Linked DNA regions of Drosophila melanogaster. The protein of the gene in region 3 interacts with the protein of the main gene of each other region in a pairwise test. Each region holds a gene or a part of one and is shown on either strand. Other genes may lie near its edges. The genes, in order: CG15728, Exo84, Rbpn-5 and Uro.

Region 1 (6,305 bases), on a different chromosome or scaffold from region 3:
TGAACCTCACCCGCCTAAATGTGGGTCTGCAAACGATTCCGTTATACAAGCGTATGGATTATCCGGCGTCTTTGTTCACCCGCGCTCAGATTGCCGCCCAAGAGAAGGCCGCCGAACGGGCTGAGGCAGTTTACCAGCAGTGCATTCTGAAGGACGCCAATGGGGGCGCCAAGTCGCGAGCTCCCTCTGCTAAGTCCAATAAGGACGTTGCCCCTGCAGCGGCGGAAAAACCAATTGCTGCCTCAGCAGCTGAACCTGATGAACTTGACGAGCTATTGGCCATGACCGATACGCAACTGGATATAGGCTCTGGAACCATTACGATGCCAATGCCTATGGTGCAGCCGGCCACACCCTCATCGGCAGCAAGCAAAAACGGTGTGGAGGAATGGCTGGATTCCGTTTTGGATGAATAGTTACATAGTTCAGGAGGACTATTACCAGAGCTTTTTACGCTTACACGAAATATTCAAATCACTAAGTGCTTGCATTTTTAGAAGTAGCATCATTAAAATTGCAAAATCTAGAGTTTTCCTCGTAACTTTATAGTTAAAGCTAGAGCCTTTTTATTGTGTATAATAAAATCGTTGATTGCATATATATACGATGCGATTGTTTCTTGAAATAAGTTTCAAAGGTTAGGTTAAGTTATTGAAGATTTCAATTCTCTTCTCATCAAAGTATCTGAATTTATAACAGATTTCTTTGTTTCCGTTCGCTATTACTTACATTGTGGTCCACTTTTGCCTTGGTAACACTTAACCAAATGGCCATGCAAGAGCTGCATAAGCTCACATATGGACTCCAAAAGCACCAGGCGCTCATGCAGATGCCCCAAATCGTTGTTCTCCACCATCAGCGGACGCAGCTCATCAACGATCGCGATTAGCCAGCGAACTAATATCGAACAATCGTCCCTGGCCAGTTTCATATAATCCTCCGGCACATCGGTCTCCTGGCACAGTTGCTGGCCCTGGGCATTGAATGGTCCGATCAGCAGGATGCTGGATATCAAACGGACCACCAGGTGCAGGGAATGCAAATAGGATATTACATAAATATGCGGCTTCACCACGGCAACGACGAGCAGCAGTGTGTTAGCCGGACGCAATCGGTGCAAGTCCAGGCCCAAGTCCGACATATGATCCAACATGGCCCAGAGCAGACAGTTAGCCACAACGCTGGCCATTGTGCACAGCGGACTGGCCACGCGGCAGCCGAGGATCAGGTTGAGCATTGTGCTCGAACTCTGGATATCCAAGAGACCCAGGACATGGACGCATACCTGGTGGATCTGTTGGGCAAAGAAAGGGAAGGATCAAAAAATATATATTTCAAACATATATATGCTTACTCACATGGCTTTCCTCGGAGCATGCCATATAATTGAAGCACTTTTGCAGGAAAAGAGTTCTTTTCACCTGGGTGGCCGACGTGTCCTCATGATGGAGTAGATAAACCATCAAACCGCATACATACACCGCAGCCAGTTTATCTGCTCCGAATTGGATCCCCTCCTGGTTGAGCAGTTCATCAAAACCAGATATAATCTAACGGAACATGTGAATAAATTAGATAATGTGATTATGATATGAATATGGATCACCTCCAGAATATTGCCGGTGGCATAAATAAAGTAGCATTGTTCCCGAATCGCCGATCGACTCATAGTCTGACGCAGCTCTTCCAAACTGAATCCCTGGGGTCGCACCATGTGGCTCATGTTGTATTCTGCCATTTTATCTGAGGAAAAAGCTGGAAAAAGGGAGTTATGCATTACTTTTGAACAGGGAAAAGGCGCCTTCAAGGATTTGCTGCTGCTTCACCTTCTCCTCCTCCTTCTACAAATTAGTGACTGAAAGATATGATGTGTGCAAATAGCCAACGCTATTTTAATGAGCTCCACAACATTTTGACATGTTTTTCAAACACACTTGGCTGCCATCTTGGCCAAGCCGAGTACAGTGAAATCAGCAAGTGGGTACTTTTAATTGAAAAGTCTAGGAATTAACTATGAAGCTTTTGATTTGAATTCATGAACCTTGAACCTATGTACATCTTCCATGATTTAAAATTAATTTTTTGTAATAATATATTAAAATATTATAATTATATAGTTATGTTCATTTTTAGACAAAATACACTTTTGTGTTGAACTTCTAGTTGAATCGCATAAAATTGAAGGACTTAGAGGAGTCGCTGCTATCGGACGCTTACTGTAGTTATGATTTTTCCTGCCTGTGTGTGTGCCCGCCTTTGTTTGTGTGTATTTGTGCTTGTCCTTGCACTGCTTTCGAAAAGGCTGGCAAAATGCAAATGCACGCGCGATGTGCGCATTTTAGCATAAAAGTCACCTGGCCTCCGTTTCCGACTCCCACTTTTCCACCTGCCACGCCCATCGCCGCTTCAAGTTTCTTGCACACTTGGCGAATATCTGCTCATTATGCATTCATATTTCATATTTCGCAATTACTTGCTTTCACACACACACACACGCACGCAAACGAACTGGCGGTAAAAAGCGCAAGAGGTGCAAGCAAGATGGCCATAACAGCAGGAAACCGTTAAGTTTCTGTGTGTGTGTGTGTGTTTGTGCGTCCTTTGCTTGGTCTTTTCTTTCTGCTCTTCTGCTTTTTTATCGCCCCCTTTATTTTTTTGGGGCATTTTTTGCACAGATTCCTATTGAAATTTCCATATTCACATTTTAATTATGCGTCGGCATGAAAAGATTAACAACTTTTTTGCAATCTCTCTGTGTGTGTGTGTGTGTGTGTTATGCTCTCCTTTTTGTTTTTAATTATGCACATGTATTTGTTGATCAAATTTAAATGGCAAAGGGGTAGGCAACATATAACCCTCTCTTTCTGAACTGCTTGCAAACATAACCTCAATTTAGCTGCCACTGCTTGCGAAGCGATTGTATGCTAATCAACTGGGAACATCTATAGCATAATATGATCTATTATATCAGCGTCCAGCTAAAAATCTACGTCAAGTGTAAAAACCCAAGAATCCCCCTCTATTAAACGCAACAAAAGTGCTCAATTAGCGAGGGTTGTTCAGCAAGTTGAACGGGAAACGCAGACCAGGCCAATTACAGTCAAACATCCGTAAGTGGAAAAGATGCTTACATTTTTATTTTACTACAAGATTGAAAAGATGTTTACATTTTCCATTTGAGTATTTTTGCTCATCATAAGAAAAATTTTACTGTAGTTATTTATCTTACTTAAAAAAAAAAATGACAAGACTGGTATTATTATTTATGGAACCATCATTTGGAGGTTCAACTGTGCTAATAGATACTAACAATCATATCCGGTTCCCGTCGGATGGCGATGATAATAATAATCAAGATGGTGATGACAAGTGGCAAGTAGCTACCCTTTAATTTTTGAGGGTGGACCGAACTGATGAGCCGCTTGTGTGCGCTGTTTGTTGTAACCAATCTGTGCATTTTACGCCTAATTTAAGGCAAATTGTCCACCCCACTTGTCTCAACACTTTTGCAACCGAAAACCCTCCCCCATCCAACTAACTTTTTCATTTTTCGGTCTTCGAGGCCGCGGGGCCTGACAAAAGCCAACAGATTTTCATGTCATTATTTACTGATTTGTGGCATTTGAAAGGGAATCGGTTTTCGGGCTTAGGATTTGCGTTCTGTAACCACCCAGCGAACTTTTTGTTTACTAATGAAGTTGTTGTTTACACAATTGGAAAGTATGATGTATGTATACAAATGATAGCCACAGTGCAAGTGGAATCCAAACCGTTCCACCCACCAATTATCACGAAATGTCATCTGAGAATTAGCCACTTTTGCAAGACGCGACATAAGAAATCGAATAGACCCTTGCAAAGAAAATAAGTCTAATATTTCTGTCGGCCCTGATGATACTAAGCGAATTTCTTTCGGTAAGGTAAACATATTGATTTTCTATTAATTATATGCGTTGTGTAACTAGAAACAGTTTTAAAGAATTTGCAAGATGGGGGTAATGAAGAAAAAGTGCCCAAGTAATAAAGAATTTCATGTTTTACAGAGTTTCCTGTATGTATGTATATGTAAGTGCTGTGGCCAACTTTAACCTTTATTTAAACAGCTTAGGACTATTTTTGACCTTAAGATCAATATGCTCTAATAACTATATCATTAGCAATAAAAAAAAGATATACATAAATTTCCAAATATATAGATATAGATAGTTCTAGGAGCTTAGGAGCGTGAAAGAGAGTGATGACCTGGAAATTGCACCAAAGAAAAACTCAAAAAAGAAAGCTTTGGGATCTTTTTGATCAGTGCCAGAAGTTCAAGCGAATCCTTGAGATCAATATGCTCCTGGTGGGCACAAGCGAGAATGCTTTGAGATTCACTATATCATTAGCAATCAAACGAAAAGATACAAAAATTCTAAAATATCTAGATGCAGTTCGAGGAGCTCAGGAGTCTCATAAAGTTCATCCCCATGGATGGGGATCTCAAAGTTTATATACAAAAGGGGCAGGAATCGTAATGAATGTAATTAAAACTGGACATACCTGTACGTTTTGTATGAAATGTTTAGCTTGGCGGAAGAATACTTCACTTGTACAATGAAATTACTTCTCACTTCCTCGTCAATTATTAGCAAATTATCAAGGAGCTCACTAATATTTCAATGGGTATCTTTTTTATTCCGCTGACCACTATTCGCTTTTGCAACAAATTGCAACTGATCGATGGAAAGCCATAGTCAGTGGCTTTCCCTTAGCCATGGACTCTTAGCCAGAGGCAACCTGTATGGCTCAGTCGGGGTTCGAGGCTGAGACTGTGAGACGATTCGATTCGATTCGATCCGATTCGATTCAATCCACAGGTTCGATGGCCGCACAATGGGACACAATGCGGCAATTAGGCATAAAGATGCCAGATTTGAAATAAGCAAGTGTGGCACGGCCCGCGGCACAAACACAATTTCGGACGATTTTCCAAGCGGATAATGACAAACATTTTTAATCACAAAAACGAGACGAGAAACCACCACCGCCAATTGCAGTGGACGGGGGAAAACACAAATTTTCACACAATATGGCAAACATCTCGCAGCCATCCTCCAACCGGAAGTCAAGTGTGTCGAGTCCTTTTGCCCTGCCCATCCATGATGACATAATCGCCCCTCAACACAATCATTATGTCGAGAATTGCTGTTGCGGTTTCTCCGAACTTCACTTCTATTTTTTTTCCTTTATTTTTATATACATGCATATATATATATTTTTGTTTCTGCCCCGCGGATGGGCCACAGCAGGCTGGAATTTAAATTGAAATTGGTATATAATGGCAGGGAGTAACTGACAGTTCCTCCCCTGTGAGTAAAGTGAGTACATTCATGGCCAAAGTCAAGTGCCTTCTGTGGTAACTTTATTATTTTACAATACTTATGCGGCCCAAAACAATCATTACTTTAACAAGTCCAATTTGTTTAGATCTCAAGAATATTTATGTTGTATTTCTGACACCTTGCTATTTATTTACTTATTTATATATATATATATAATATAATTTTATGTTACGTGGGCTGCTTACCATTTTAAATGTATGAAGTAACAGAGGCAACAAATGTAAGATGGAAAGATGGAATTTGGAATTTGGAAATATAATTTAGATTTAGATTTGCTAATAGTTTTGGCTAGTCTTGAAGTTCTCGCGCCTCTTTAGTCGGCCAAACCCAAATTCATAATCACAGGCAAAAGTGCGCAGAAAAGTATGCTACACTTTTGGCACTAGCATTTTCTGTTGTTTTTTTTTCAAAGCTGCAAATTGTACGAACTCTTTAGTTTCGTAGTTTTCAGCCTGAATGCGAGCAAAAGCCGAAAAACTTTTCCCCACTCTCCCGGCTTTATTCCTTTTTTTTTTTAGTTGCAAAGTTCTCCAACGCCGAGAGCTTAATGCAATTAATAACTCATTAAATAAATACAAATCAAATTGAATGATGGCCAGCTCAAAGGAGAAGGGCTGGTGGAGCAGGAGGTGCCTTTGTGCTCAAAGGATGGCTGCGTAAAATGTACCAATTAAAAATGCCATTCAAATCTCAATGGCTGCGCAAATGAACCGCATGAATGTGAGAATTTGCGGTATCAAAAAAAAAAAAAAAAAACGCGAAGGAAACCGGTGAAAGAATCATCCATCATCTATCTGTATCTGCAAGTGGCTGGCATGATGGGGGTTAGCAGATGCATTTTATTCATTAGATTACATTCACATTTCATAGACGATTTCATGGCAACGTTAACTTGCTTGCCATCCCATTCGCCTTTGCCTTTCA
Region 2 (5,037 bases), on a different chromosome or scaffold from region 3:
TATTATGACATTTAAAACAAGTTTTCTTATTTATACAAGTGCTATGTGATTTTCATTTTTCAAGTGTTTTACATATTTCTATAGTACCCAATAGTACAAATTTAGGAAAGTACTTCTTTTTATTCAGATAAACACAATTTTGCATTTATAGTTAAAGCTGAATATATGTATATACATATATATATAATTTCATGATTTGGAAATTCCTTTTTCTTATTTTATTGAAGACAGGCATGAAACGTACATATCTTTTAAAATACCGAATATTGTATAGCTCTAAAGTAACAAGTATTGCGAATTTGTTTGTAGCTAGGCTGTGCGATTGCAGCACTACCCAGTTCTTTCCATTATAGCTTGTAAATGCTAATTACTCATCGATTTTTCAAACACGCAGGGAACGAAAATCACAAGCATTCTCTTTAATATAACATTCGCTTCTGGGAGATACAAACGGGTGGTGGCTCTTACATAAAGTGGACAGGCAGTGGTTCTTAGTAGCGGCTCAATCCTTGCGCAGCTTATCCAGGCGCGCCTGAAGATCCGCATCGGCATCGGACATGGGCGATGAGGCACCACTGCCACCGGGAGCTCCCGGACCACCAGCGCCGCCACCACTAGCTCCACCTCCGCCGGCGGCTCCACCGCCGCCAACGCCACCAGCGGCCACAGCCTGTGCTTTCTGAGCGCCAGCGCCGCCGGCTATGGAAAGGGAACCGGAGGCGGAAGGAAGGTCTCCCAGCTGTTCGCCCAATTGCAGACCCAGTTCGTCCAGCACCTGGGACACAACAGCATCCGTCTCCTCCTCGTCGCCCTCGTCCTCCATGGCGTCATCGATGGCATCGTTGATCATCTCCTCCTTCATGTCCATCATTTCCGACTGTTTCTCGAAGTCCTGCAGGATCTTCTGGATTTGCGGGAGATTCAGCTGGCGGTTCATGTTCTGCATGGCCTTCGTGACACCTGGAAGATAAGCATAATTGCTTGATAAGCGGGTGAATCAGCCAAATAGCCAATGTTTACCTTTCATGGCCTGTGCCATTGTGTTCTGCGACTTGAGCGTCTGAATTTTGAGGGACACCGCCTGGATGTTTGCCTTCATCAGCATGAACTTCTTGGCATACCGCCGCGTGCGCACCAGATCCTTGGCCATGATCTTCACGGCATCCATTTGACCCTCCTTGGCCATCTTCTTGATATCCGCGATAATCTTCTTCTCCTGCTGCTCCATTTTCATCCGCTCGCGGTCCAGATCTCGCATCGCTTTGTTGAGCGCCCGCTGATTCTTACGCAGCATCTCATCGGGGCTGATCTTCTTGCCGAATAGCCAGTCCATGTTTAAGGATATCTTAACTGCAAGATTTAATTACGAAGAATGACGGAGTTTCCTAAAGATTACTCATCAACCAAAACAATAAGCGAAGGGTGTGCGCGATTCTAAGGTGGCCAAGACGTGTTGGCGCTTACATGCGAATAGTGCTAGTGGGAAGAAGAAGCTTTGCCGGTGCACTCTGAAAGAACTGTTCACACTTCAACTTAGTGAATTAGCAACAGGTGGAAAATAATTTTAATTTATTACAATACAACACACACACATTGTAATGAATAGTATACATATAGACATATGTCTTCTTGATTTTTAACGTAGATCTTTGACGTAGTCGTTTATATTTAAAAGTTCAGTTCGAATAAAAAGTATTCAGGGCTTCAACGCCTAATCATACCTAAGATGAAAATCCGAAATGTAAATGCGAATAAATTTGTTGATCTCTAAAAGGTCTTTGACGTAGCCGTTCAGTTCGAATAAAACTTTTCATAGGTTTTAAATCTTAATTAATCTCCTATTACTTAAAACTAAATAAAAATGTTCTAGATTTATAGATTTATCTAATACCAGGGAAAACTGCAGTGAAAACATGGCATTTTCTATAGCATCAGCAACCTTACAATCGACACCTCATGATGACGCTCGTTCGTTGTGAATGGCTCTGCGTCAGCTGCAGTTTACATTCCAATCAGAATCATGAAGGAGTTCGACGATTTTAATTTTAGCGTTGAGAAATGTAAGTATTCCTATGTCTATTTAGCATTAATCAGTCTACTAATAAGTACAACGTTCCCAGATACCAAGGACCTGACACGAGAATGTGTGGGTGGCAGCGATTTGCAGCAGCGAAAAAAGGAAATCGAGGCCTACAACGAAACGACGGCAGCAACGCTCAAGCAAACATGCAAAAAGAACTATATGGAGTTTATACAGACGGCCAAGGAGATATCACGTAGTTTACGCCCCCCAATATCAATATACATTTATGTTAATATTTTCGCATCGCAGATCTCGAGTCGGAAATGTATCAACTGTCGCACATTCTGATTGAGCAGCGCAATATTCTGGCCACCATGACGGATGGCAAGACTTCCAGTCACCTGAAGGCAGAGAGTTTGGAGGCGGAGAGCACTACGGCGACGGAGGATCTGGAGAATAGCCATGCCACGCGGGCGGTCAAGGAAATGGTCCAGGGCTTCAATGGCAATCTGGAAGGCAAGACCTTCCTCAACGAGGGAGCTCTAATCGAGTTGGACAGTAATGATTATCGACCCATTCAAAGGGTCTTCTTTTTCCTCTTCAACGATGTACTGATTGTCTGCAAAGTGAAGCATGATAAGTAGGTTTTCCTATACTAAAGCATATAGCAAAAACTAATAGTAATATTTTTCAGGCGCTTGGATTTCCTCACCGAGTACGACCCCAAGAAAATAGCCGTGATTAACATTAAGGACTTGGATGGCGTTAAGAATGCCATTAATATCATTACTCCAGATGGTTCCAAGATCTATCAAAGCATCACGGCTGCTGGGAAGACGGAGTGGATAGAGAAGCTCGAAGAGGCCTTCCGCTTTGACCAGCAAAAGAAACCAAAAAAGGGCCAGGCGCCACAGCCTCCAACTCGGGCCAAACAGCAGTCAAAAGCTTCGACTCCGGAGAAGGAAACCACACCCCAGAGTCCCGGACAGCCCAAATCCCTGGAGGATGAGACGCCCGAGTGGCTAAGCACGGCCAGTGAAGAGATTCAGACCCTGGTGGCCCAACGGCATTTCGAGGATGCCCAGGAGCTGATAAAGCGAACCCAGGACTTCTTGCGAAACGAGAACCGAAAGAAGTTGCCACTAGCGGACGCCATTGAAACCAAGGTGAAGCAGCAGGAGCTGAAGCTGATCAATGTGCTGCTCAAGGAGTTGTCCAACAGTCACAATCGCAATCTGCAGATCGCTCTGAGAGCAGCCAAGCGGCCTCTGAAGATTCTCGTAGAGATGGGTCGCTATCGGCAGGCGAGTGCCACTCTGCTGAAGGTCTGCGCCGTCAGTTTGCGGGTGGCGCAACGGGAGGCGCGCAGGAATAATGCGGATATATCGGAACTCTTCTTTTGTGACCTGACGCAGGTGGCCTGTGATTTTCTCACCGCCTTTGAGAAGCAACCGGCGTGCGTTAGCGGTAAGCTTCATTCCTATTTCTGTCTACATTTAAGTATTACTACTATCTAATTCTTGCAGCGCTCGTGGTTTGGTGCAATGCGGAGCTGCAATATTTTGCCAGCCAACTGATAAAGCATTACCTGACCAAGGGAACCTCCCTGGAGTCAGTGGCCAAATGTGTGGAGCGAGTGCGCAAGCCCTCGACAAAGCTCACAGAGATCGGGCTGGACATTAGTTATCATTTGGAAGGTCTGTTGCGCACTACACTCGAGTCGCTCATAGAGGAATCCAAGGAGCGACTGCTGGACTCCGTGGGTCGCACCGAGGAGAGCTGGCAGCCGTACAATTTGCAGACCAAGTCGAACCTGAAGCGTCTGCTCCTGGAGCTCGATGTCTTGGGTATCGATGTGCGAGCCCAGGCGACGGGCGACACATGGATTAATCTCACCCAGTCGACAGTGGTTTTCATCAGACACTTCCTGCAGCTCACCGAGTACTGCGGCTGTCTGGCCAAGTGCGAAACCCTGCTGCAGAGCCTGGAACTGCTTCTTAAGGAGCTGTTCATTGCCCAGCATTCGTTGAAACCGCCCAGCGACATGGCCGTGGATGTAAGTTAGAAAGCAGCTTAAATAAAACCGCTCTCTTCAAGAATGCCATTTTCAGCCCAACTTTGTAATGAAGAACAAGATTTTTCTGGTGGACAACCTGCTGCCCATCGCCATCGACAAGTTTCGACAGATTTCTGGACGCCAGTGCGAGGGATTGCGCGAGTTGCACACGAAAATGTCCCGCCAGCAAGGTGCTCCAGTGCCGCGCCAGCGCAGCGTCTACACCACAGATGTGTTTTAGATGCACGCCGTGGGATTTACTTTCGATTACATATAATTTTTTATTTTTTCGTTTTGCTTCAATTATTTATAATATAATTATATACATATATAACCACAATAATAATAATATTTGTAAAATTAAAAATCGAAGCGTGTGCTGCACTCTATCTCTTGCTTATTACAATTTCGCCGCTCGCATTATATATATAATTGTAAATATATATAAATCGATTCGTTTTCTGTTTTTCATATATATACTCTAAACACTAAACAATTTAGCTGTGTTCTACTTTTCGGTTTCGGTTGTTGATGCGGCTCTCTCTGTGTTGGGTTTAGCTGCTCAAAATATAGGATTTTACACTTGGTTCTGAAGAGTTGAGTTTGATTCACACAATTAATTCCTCGATTTTCTCATTACACATTTTCTCAAATTACATACAAGCAAAGCGGACTGCTCTGAGCTTCTAACTACTGACCCCCAATGCGAGTGAGTGTTTCGAAAGTGGTTTCCGTGTTTAATTTATAATGTAAAACTCTTAACTAAAATGCTTACTAAGTATATTCATTTATAATTATATATATATATATATATATATACCTTTTATGCAAATGTGTTTTGTGTTTTTCGTATGTTGTGTTTGTGTGTGTGTGGTGTGTGTTTGGAGGGACGTTGGGAGGTAAGGAAACTGACAACTTAAAATTACATTTGTTGTTGCATTCGCTGTCTGACTTTTCA
Region 3 (4,977 bases):
TCTAGCTATCTCCCGGCGACGGGCTAATTGGGTAATCATTTTTCTATCTCTTCCGCAGACAATGTGTGCCAAAACAAGACGTAATTGCTACTCAAGTAGTGTGATTCCCCCCTCCGTGTTTGTGCGTGTGTTGTGAAGTCTGTAGTTGCTAACGTTTTTCGTTGAGTGCGGAGATTGCAGTATTAGTTTATCATTATTTGGTAGTTGAAGTGAGAGTTGTATATACTGAATTTATATGGGCATGCCCGAAATTGTTATTACGTTTTAATATTTAGCAAATACCTATACCAATCCTAGCTCCTCGCAACCAAATGAAGACACAAATACAATTGTTAACAATAATTTACAAACTCTTTTCTTAGCATTTTTAAATAAACAAGAACACAAACTTTATGTTGCATGGCTCGCCTTTGAATTAAACAACTCAATTCATTACTTTGATATCAACTCTATTGCAGGCAAAGTTGGTTCAAGTAGAGATGTGCGGCGACAAACAACAAAAATTTAATTGTTTTTAATTTGTATATTTGCTTTGAGTTAAATTCAGTTACGAAAACTTACCTACGACGAAAGCTAACATAGACAACTCATCGCTTACGTTATGTATAGGGCCAAAATAATGGAACAACAAAATCGGAAATAGACATTGGCAAATGGAAATGGGCATTGGAAAGGTTTGACCTCGGATCGTAATCGTAGTATCGGAGCACAGAAATAGAGCAATAGAGTTCAAGGAGATACCAACTAATCGTAATCGTACTTCACACATAATACACAATCACTTGGGCTTGGAGCCCAAACGCCTAGTTGGACTGCTGCTGCTGCTGCTGGCCTTGCTGCTGCTGCGGCGGCTGTCCCTGACTGAAGTAGGGTGCGGTGTTTGGCGTGAGCAGCGTGTGACAGATATCACAGACTCGGGCCACTCGCTTCCGTGGTCCAGATGGCACCGTTTTCGTTAGACACTTATCGCAGTAGATGTGGCCGCAGTGCCGGCAATGGATCTTGCGCACCATGACCGTGAAGTAGGCATTGCACGTGGGACAGTTGTTCACATCGTCATCGTCCTGCCAACGCACCTCCGTGTCGGCATGCCGCAGCTCCTCCAGCGACATCTGTGGCACAACACAATGTAATTAATTAAGTGAATAAACCATATATTTTTATATCTCACTCACCTGAAGCGTTTGAGATAGTTTGACAAAGTCCTTTTGAACAGTCTCCATGGTGGAGAGTTCCTCCTGTAGTGTTTTTATCTTCGTCTTGTAGTCTGCATTTGTTTTGGCGTACTTTTCCTGTAATGTGATCTGGTTAGCGAAGAATCAAGTGTGACAACAAAATATGATAGCTTACATTGGCCTCTTGCAGCTCAATGATCTCCACGCGACACTCGGAGAGCTGCTTGTTCAGCTCAGCCTCTTTGCGCTCCAGTTGGGTTTTGGTAGTCTCGTACGCTTGTACCGTGACCAAGTGTTCCGTCACCCGATCCCTGAAAATTCATTTAAAACGTGGGCCAAAGTGAACACCACCATAGACAAGAGGTTGTAACTTACTGCAGTGACTTAATATCTAGTTGCATTTTGCGCTTGTAGGCCCGCCTTTCATTGTTGCTCTCCTCCAGCTGGGCCCGCAAGATCTGAATCTCATCTTCAGTGCTGGTGCACTTCTGTCGCTCGTATTCGCTGCTGACGCGTGCTTGGATTAGCTCGCTTTGCTGTCGCAGTATCAGCTCCTGGAGCTCGACGACCGTGTTGGGCAGATTGATATATTGGTTGTCGATCTCCTCGGACGTGGCCAGATAGCGACCGGACAGAAAGTCGTTGTCCGCCTGCAACGTCTCCAGTTGCTTGTTGACCCGCTCTCGGTCGTCGGAGACGCGCTGGATCTGCTTAATAACCTCGTCCTTGGTCTCGAGAAACTTTTGCTGCATGTCCAGCAGTCGCTGCTCGTTGGTTTTGGCCTGGTCACGCAGGCTTTGTACTTCGCTTTTGTGGGCCTCCCGCTTTTCTTGCCACTGGTCCTCCAGATCCTTGCGCAATGCCGCCTCCTTAACCAGTGTCTCCCGGGATTCCACCAGCTGCTTTTGCAGCAGATCCACCTGTTTCTGCTGTTTGTTTATATGGGCACCCAGCTCTTCGGTCTTCTTTTCTGCCAAGCTGCACGACTCGCAGGCGCTCTCGGCGACGTCCATGGACGTGGACTTGTGCAGGGCGGATTCATCGGACGCCGACTTGGCCTGCAGTTGCTCGTCCTGTTCGCGCAGCTTCACTTTTAGTGCCTTCATCTCCTCCTGAAGCTGCTCGACAATTGAGTGCATCATCTCCGCCTCCTCAGGAGCCTGCAATATAAGCTCAGTTAATTTGATAGTTGAAAGATTAGTCCCGAAAACATACGTATTGCTTGCCATTGCCCTTGCTCGATGCCCGGGTGTCCTCGTCCTGCTGAAAGCTGCTGTTCAGGGAGTCGGTGCCCAGTTTACGCACAGAGCCTAGTGTCTTCTTGACCTGATTGAGCACCTGCGGCGCTATACCGCCAGATGACTCGGCCTGCGGTTGTTGAGCCATCGTCTGCTGTTGAATCTGCTGGTACTTGCCCAGCTCCAGCCTGAGCCGTTCCACCTCGCCTTTGTAGTGCGCGGTCTCCTCGATAGTGTCCTGCACCAGCTGCTGCAGCGAGGAGATCTCCTCCTGCGCCTTGAGGTCCCTCAGCTGCAGCTCGTTCTGCGACTTAAGGTCCGCCACCATTAGGTGTGTCTTCAGCTCGTCCAGCTCCGCCTGCAGCTGCCGTCGCTCCTGCTGGCTCTGGCTGACCTCCGCCTCCTTCTGGATGTACAGCTCCCGCATCTTCGCCCGCTGCGTGTTGAACTCGTTCTGCATTTTGCGCATCTCGTTCTGCAGGTGACTGAGTTTGTGCTGGCTGGTCGCGTCATCCTCACCTGCCGTTGGAGTTATGGGTTAGTTATCGGCTGTTCAGGCTTCCTGTGGTGCTGCCTTACCATTGGGCAGGTCCGTGGGTTCCCTGGCCTCTGACCGGGTCTCGTTTTCTTCCATTTTCTATATTGTGTGATGGCCAATTTATTAGTTTATATGTACATATGTGAGCGCACCAATTAGAACATATACATTTGAGCGATTTTCAACACTGCTCTTGGTGTTACCATATTTGAATAATACCGATAGTTAATACTTTAGTATTGCTTGGCAGTGCCGTTAAAAAAGGTTTTCAAAATCTAACTTTATTGAGCTTGATAAACATCTTTTGGGATTAAGTTTTCTATAGAAGTATAGAAAGTTTAAAATATTTACTTACAGATACTTGGTAAAATAGTTTTAATAATTTCCCTTCGCCAATTTGCAAATGTATTCTTATTTTATGTCCTTTTAATGTGTCCTTTTTAAGAACCCGTTTTATTAAGTTAAAAGTCGGAATCCTTTAAAATCACTCCTTTGTCCTTTTATATCTTAGTCTAAAATCTAAATCTAGATATTCCTCGAATTTTTTGTTATCATCAGCCATCAGGAACTATAAATAGAAAAAGAAAACAAATGGGTAAGGAATATAAATAAACAATACCATATAATTTAAATTTGTATAATGTTTATAATTGCATCTTAATCGTTCTTAATTATTTAGGATTTTCTTAAGCATTTCCTAGAAAGTGTTTCAACATTTGTGTGTAAGCCAAATGACAACGGCAGAATATATTAGACACAATTCTATGAAAAGGTAAATGACTGCCGATCATGAATGACTAATACCGTCAGTTCTTTTAATTTTATGCAAATTATTAAGCGCCAGAAACGCGAGAAAACGCTAAGAGCTGATAAATTATGAGAGGAAAATGAATACTTCAATAATGCCTAGCTAATGAGAAAACATATTTAAATATAACAATATAGCAAACTATTTGAGATAACAAAACTACGCGTTAACCAGAACAAAACTCGATTTCAGAATTTCGGCATCGGCTGAGGAAGCCGAAAACTTGACTAATTATAAAATTATCATGGCTGTACACTACCAGAAATTGGAAAACATTTTAGTCGATAGGTAAAAAATAATTGTACGCTGTAACTAATGTTAACTTTAAACATTTGTTAACCACCTTATAGCCAATAATATTAATTAAATCATAGCATTAGGCATTACATAGACCATTTTTTTCGTCAGTGTACGCTGAGATCCGTTGGGTCTTCTAGGTCTTGGACTTGTTGGCAGGCTTGTGAGCTCATGACTTTCGATGTCGTCATAGTCGGCAGCCGGAGATTCGTGGCCGATACAAATACTACAGCATTATGCCCAGCGACAACAGCAGCGATGTTGGCCAAAATATTTGGCGTCTGTTCAGTTCGCATTGGATTCAGGAACGAGGCGGTCGGAAGCGGGAAAAAAAAGTACGCGAAGAAATAAATACGCGGCGCCTTGGAATCGCGACGGCATTTCTACTTATAAACTTAAAAATAATACAAATATATAAGTACAACCGCCGCGATATATGTATGTGAACGGAACTTGAATAATGACCATAAAGTGCCCAATGTTTTGAGTTCCTACGGATATCAATTAGAAAATTGCAAAGCGAATCCATATAGATTCCCGGATATACCAAAAAAAAAACCGACCATGTCGCAAACCCAGAGCATAACACCCATTCCCAGCACACCGCCGCCTTCACGGCGGGCAAATCGACCGCCCAGGATCAACATCCACAATCTGACCAGCGGATCGGCAATGAGCCAGGCATCGATGCCACCCAGTGCCCAGCCACCCTATACGGCCCAAACGAACTTCACGGGCAATGGAACACAGGGACCCTACTGGCCACCAATGGCCAATCCCTTCGGATACGGCAACTTTATGACCAAGGGCTACGAGGGCTTCCTCGATATCACAAAGTCGGGCTTGAGCTTCGGCGAGAAGATGACCTTCGGCATGTACAAGTGGTCGCGCCGATGGTTCACCCACATCTTCCTCATCCTC
Region 4 (3,670 bases), on a different chromosome or scaffold from region 3:
ACCGCTAAGTAAATGATTGATTGGTTTTGAAAGTTTCTGGTTAGTTTTTAGCACAACAGCTTACACTTCATGGTCGAGTGAATATTGGCCACCATATTGTCGTAGGTCTTTCTGGTGTCGGGCAACAGGTAACGTCCTGGCAACTGACTCGATCTTAGCGAGGCCTTGATCCTGTCCCTCCTGGACAGCTGCGACAGCCTGGTCTTGGCGCTCTCCTCCTGTTCCCAGTCCCTTCGCAGCTGGGTGGTCAGGATGTGGTGCAAGGCCAGTCGATTGGTCATGGTCACGCTGTTTGTGGCTAAATGGTTATTTGCTAATTTCGAATTTAGATTGCGAATTTTGACTGCCAAAGTGGTCGAAAATTGTGGAATTTATTTTATATATTTTTTTTTATGAACGATGCCTCATTTTAGGATTTTAGAAAATAGTTCTGATATAATTTGGATTTATTCAGCCAAGGCAAGGGTGATCTCGAAATATGGTTTTGCAATCGATTTATTCATTTTTACACTTTATTTTTTATTAGTTTATTATTGTTTAAATAAGAAGAACGCAGCATATGATTCGTTTGCTTAAATAATTTAAAATACATATATAACTTCGCCGCATGCAATTATGAATTGGCTAAATTGATTTAGATTGATTTAGATTTACTACATCAGAGATCGATCTACAGGTGACTATTGATGTTCTTCCGGGCCAATTGGGCATAGATGGTGCCATGTGGCTTGTCCACTGGGATGAAAACTTCATTGTTGTCGCCGGGTGCAATCTTCTGGAAGGGCTTCGTATCGAAGTTGAAGTAGTGCTTGTTTGGCATGGTCATCGAAATGACCGACACCTGCGGCAGGACATCCAGGACCTGTCTTTCACTCAGATACAGGGTGTGCTGAACGGAGGGCGAGGACACGCCCACCTGCGGATCGCCAGCAAAGTTACGAATGATTATGTTTTTGACCGTTTGCCAGGCCCTGAGGAAGTCCAAGTTCTCGGTATCGGAGTACTCCCAGGAGCAATCCACCACGGTGCTAAAGATGCGATCATACTGATCTGGCAGAGATCTGAACTCATCGTTCACGAAGTTCACGAACGAGGATTGGGTCGTCTTCAGCACCCGGAGACCCTTGATGCCCGTGATGACCGTTTGTTTGGGATCTAAAACAGTAAAGGAGGTGATAATTTAGTAGTTTTAAATATTATTGCTTTAGTTATGTTTGACTTAACCTGTTCTCCTTATAACCACATCGCAGTAGTGAAGAGCGGTGGGCGTGAATATAAAAGCGTGATTGTGCAGTGATCTGTTGTCAATGGAGCTGAAGTCGCAGTTCCCTTGGACTCCGTTCTCGCACTTCCCATTGACGTTGGTCCTGGTCTCCTCCTGGCAAACTCGCTGCCAGGGATACGCCTCCACATGAACGTGCGCCTCCTCCACGTGCGAGTATTTGTTAATAAAGTGCCTGGCCAGGAGCAGAGCAAACTTCTCGGGACTTTCAATGCCATGCTTTTTCGCCAGCAAATAGACGGTGTTCTTCTGCGAATCGGTGGCCACGATGTCCGAGTTGTTGCCCTGGTAGTAATCCTTTTTGCTGTACAACTTCAGGTGAGTGCCCACCTCGAATTCCTGGATGGCGTGCACGGGTCCGTTGCGGCTGACATGCAGCACCTTGACCGCATCCTTGCCGTATCCGTGATCGGTAATCTCGTACTGATACGGCTTACCATGCTCATCCATGCCGGCGGAATTCTTTGGGGTCTGGTGGTTAGCCGCAGCTGGCTGTCTGAGGGGCGTGGCAAACATTGTGACTGCAATCACTCTCACTTTGATACTGATGATGCCATCAATTTCCTTGCCGCCTTTTATATCAGAACACCTGGATAACAACACAAATCTTTGTGTAGTTAGGGATTTTTTTTAGCGCATTTCGTAGAAAGCAAGTGGCTGGGAAATCGTATATCATCACTCTCACTTAGAGTATTAAAGGTCTAACTCAAATTACGACTAGTAGCGCTGATAATCGCGGCCTGGTGCCAAGTAAACATGACCAAGACTCAAGGCTATGTTTTCTATCTCCAAAACTTTGCATCTTGTTTACTTCACACTCATCTAACCAAATCCTTATTTTTGCAATATTACGTAGGAGATAAGTCGCAAATGCCGTTTTAACCATTAGCATCACTTTCGGGGGTAAATGAAAATTGGTAAATAATTTTTACAGATCACATCTCTGAATTTTATTCTTTTTTAAAATCTTAATTTCTCTCTTATTCACGCACGAGTCACTATTATTATTAAAACCTTGAAAATGTGTGCGTTGAAAAGATACATTTATTATTTCACAACATTGGAAAATAACAATTATTTCACCATAGAAAAAAAATATTAATTTACGTCTTAAATTTGATGTGACACTTTTGTTTATTAAATTTTAGGAGACCATTTTTAATATCCTTGATAATGGTCTTAAAAAATACACATGTTTAAGTTGAGTTTCTGGAATAATCTAATGTGACAGAATGTGTTCAGATGGATTCGACTGATCAAAAGTTTAGATATATAATTTATAGAATCGGAAACGCTTTACTTTACCAGTTACATACTGTTCAGTAAGCCTAGTATACCCTTTTAGTAAAGGGAATAAAAGGTTGGCATAGCAACTGCAGATCTGAAAGAGTGCAATTTGTAATAAAATGAAAGCTGTATTTGCAAAGAGTTTATCATTTCCGTGTGAGTCTAAACTTTTTATAAACCATTATTCTATTAAAAAACAAAACAATTTTATTATGTAGTGGGTCATAAGTACGTGTGAGCCAATCTACATATGTATATCAAAATATTTATTAACTAACCTATAAAATATAGAATGGTTTTTTCAAATACTCATAAACAGTAAATGACAATACACATATAGATACTATTATATATCACTATAAGATAGGGCGTTTAGTCTCGATTTATTAGCTGGAGGATTTAAACATACCACTTCAGCTTAGTGTTAAGTCAGTTTTATTATATGGATATAGAAAATGTCAGATGTTCTCTGCTATCTTGTGGTGGTCAAATTGCTCAGCAGCCAAATAATCTACTCTCTGCATAAAATTTCTATCTACAGAAGCTGTGGCTTAGTGCTAATCCAGTTTAATCTCATACATACTCTGGGTGAAGATATTTCAAAAGATATGTGCGCGCTTTTTTAAGATATACATTTGACATATATTTGTTTAACACGGTTTTTAGGAGCGTGCCTTGTATGCATAATGGTCTCCCACGATCCGAAATAGCTATATTCATATGTTTGTTGGCAAGTTATGTAAGTTCCGTTTTTGGTTATTGGCTTAAGATAAACTCTATGTTGGAATTGAAGTGTCATTGTTTGTTAAGCGAGAGTTTTATTTAGCAAAGATAATAATATTCGTGTTTATATAAAGGTTTTGATTTCACGGTTAAGTAAATTTGATAATAAAGTTTACTTTCGCATAAGCACGCGTCATAAAGTTATTTGGCTTAGTTTATGCATTATATTGTAGTACTCTACTGATATGATAAACTATATGATCTTGAAGATGATGATATGATTGTAAACGAGTAGAGAACCCCTGCCACATGAATCATCCCCAAAAGATGTACCGCCTGGAATTTAATCTAATGGATTGGTAGTTTTATGAAGCTTTT

The links.
Region 1: the proteins of Rbpn-5 (region 3) and CG15728 interact in a two-hybrid assay, tested with the Drosophila melanogaster proteins (one large-scale study listed by BioGRID).
Region 2: the proteins of Rbpn-5 (region 3) and Exo84 interact in a two-hybrid assay, tested with the Drosophila melanogaster proteins (one large-scale study listed by BioGRID).
Region 4: the proteins of Rbpn-5 (region 3) and Uro interact in a two-hybrid assay, tested with the Drosophila melanogaster proteins (one large-scale study listed by BioGRID).

What each region holds. Positions count from the first base shown.
Region 1 is NC_004354.4:12,622,666-12,628,970, reverse strand, and holds CG15728 (uncharacterized protein), read right to left. Parts: upstream 4,680-6,305; 5' UTR 4,540-4,679; intron 1,879-4,539; exon of another isoform or gene 1,827-1,878; intron 1,756-1,826; 5' UTR 1,739-1,755; coding exon 1,607-1,738; intron 1,551-1,606; coding exon 1,359-1,550; intron 1,295-1,358; coding exon 722-1,294; 3' UTR 526-721; downstream 1-525. Other genes in the region: Aven (apoptosis and caspase activation inhibitor), read left to right, coding at 1-416.
Region 2 is NT_033777.3:26,049,213-26,054,249, reverse strand, and holds Exo84 (exocyst 84), read left to right. Parts: upstream 1-1,992; 5' UTR 1,993-2,020; coding exon 2,021-2,060; intron 2,061-2,120; coding exon 2,121-2,279; intron 2,280-2,332; coding exon 2,333-2,663; intron 2,664-2,717; coding exon 2,718-3,490; intron 3,491-3,549; coding exon 3,550-4,079; intron 4,080-4,134; coding exon 4,135-4,320; 3' UTR 4,321-4,519; downstream 4,520-5,037. Other genes in the region: Vps2 (vacuolar protein sorting 2), read right to left, coding at 503-960, 1,021-1,333.
Region 3 is NT_033778.4:21,087,880-21,092,856, forward strand, and holds Rbpn-5 (Rabaptin-5), read right to left. Parts: upstream 3,126-4,977; 5' UTR 3,048-3,125; coding exon 2,993-3,047; intron 2,933-2,992; coding exon 2,391-2,932; intron 2,336-2,390; coding exon 1,551-2,335; intron 1,487-1,550; coding exon 1,351-1,486; intron 1,293-1,350; coding exon 1,176-1,292; intron 1,113-1,175; coding exon 804-1,112; 3' UTR 507-803; downstream 1-506.
Region 4 is NT_033779.5:7,778,246-7,781,915, reverse strand, and holds Uro (urate oxidase), read right to left. Parts: upstream 1,832-3,670; 5' UTR 1,799-1,831; coding exon 1,225-1,798; intron 1,156-1,224; coding exon 671-1,155; 3' UTR 501-670; downstream 1-500. Other genes in the region: CG7164 (uncharacterized protein), read right to left, coding at 1-4, 65-281. UniProt on the Drosophila melanogaster protein: Catalyzes the oxidation of uric acid to 5-hydroxyisourate, which is further processed to form (S)-allantoin.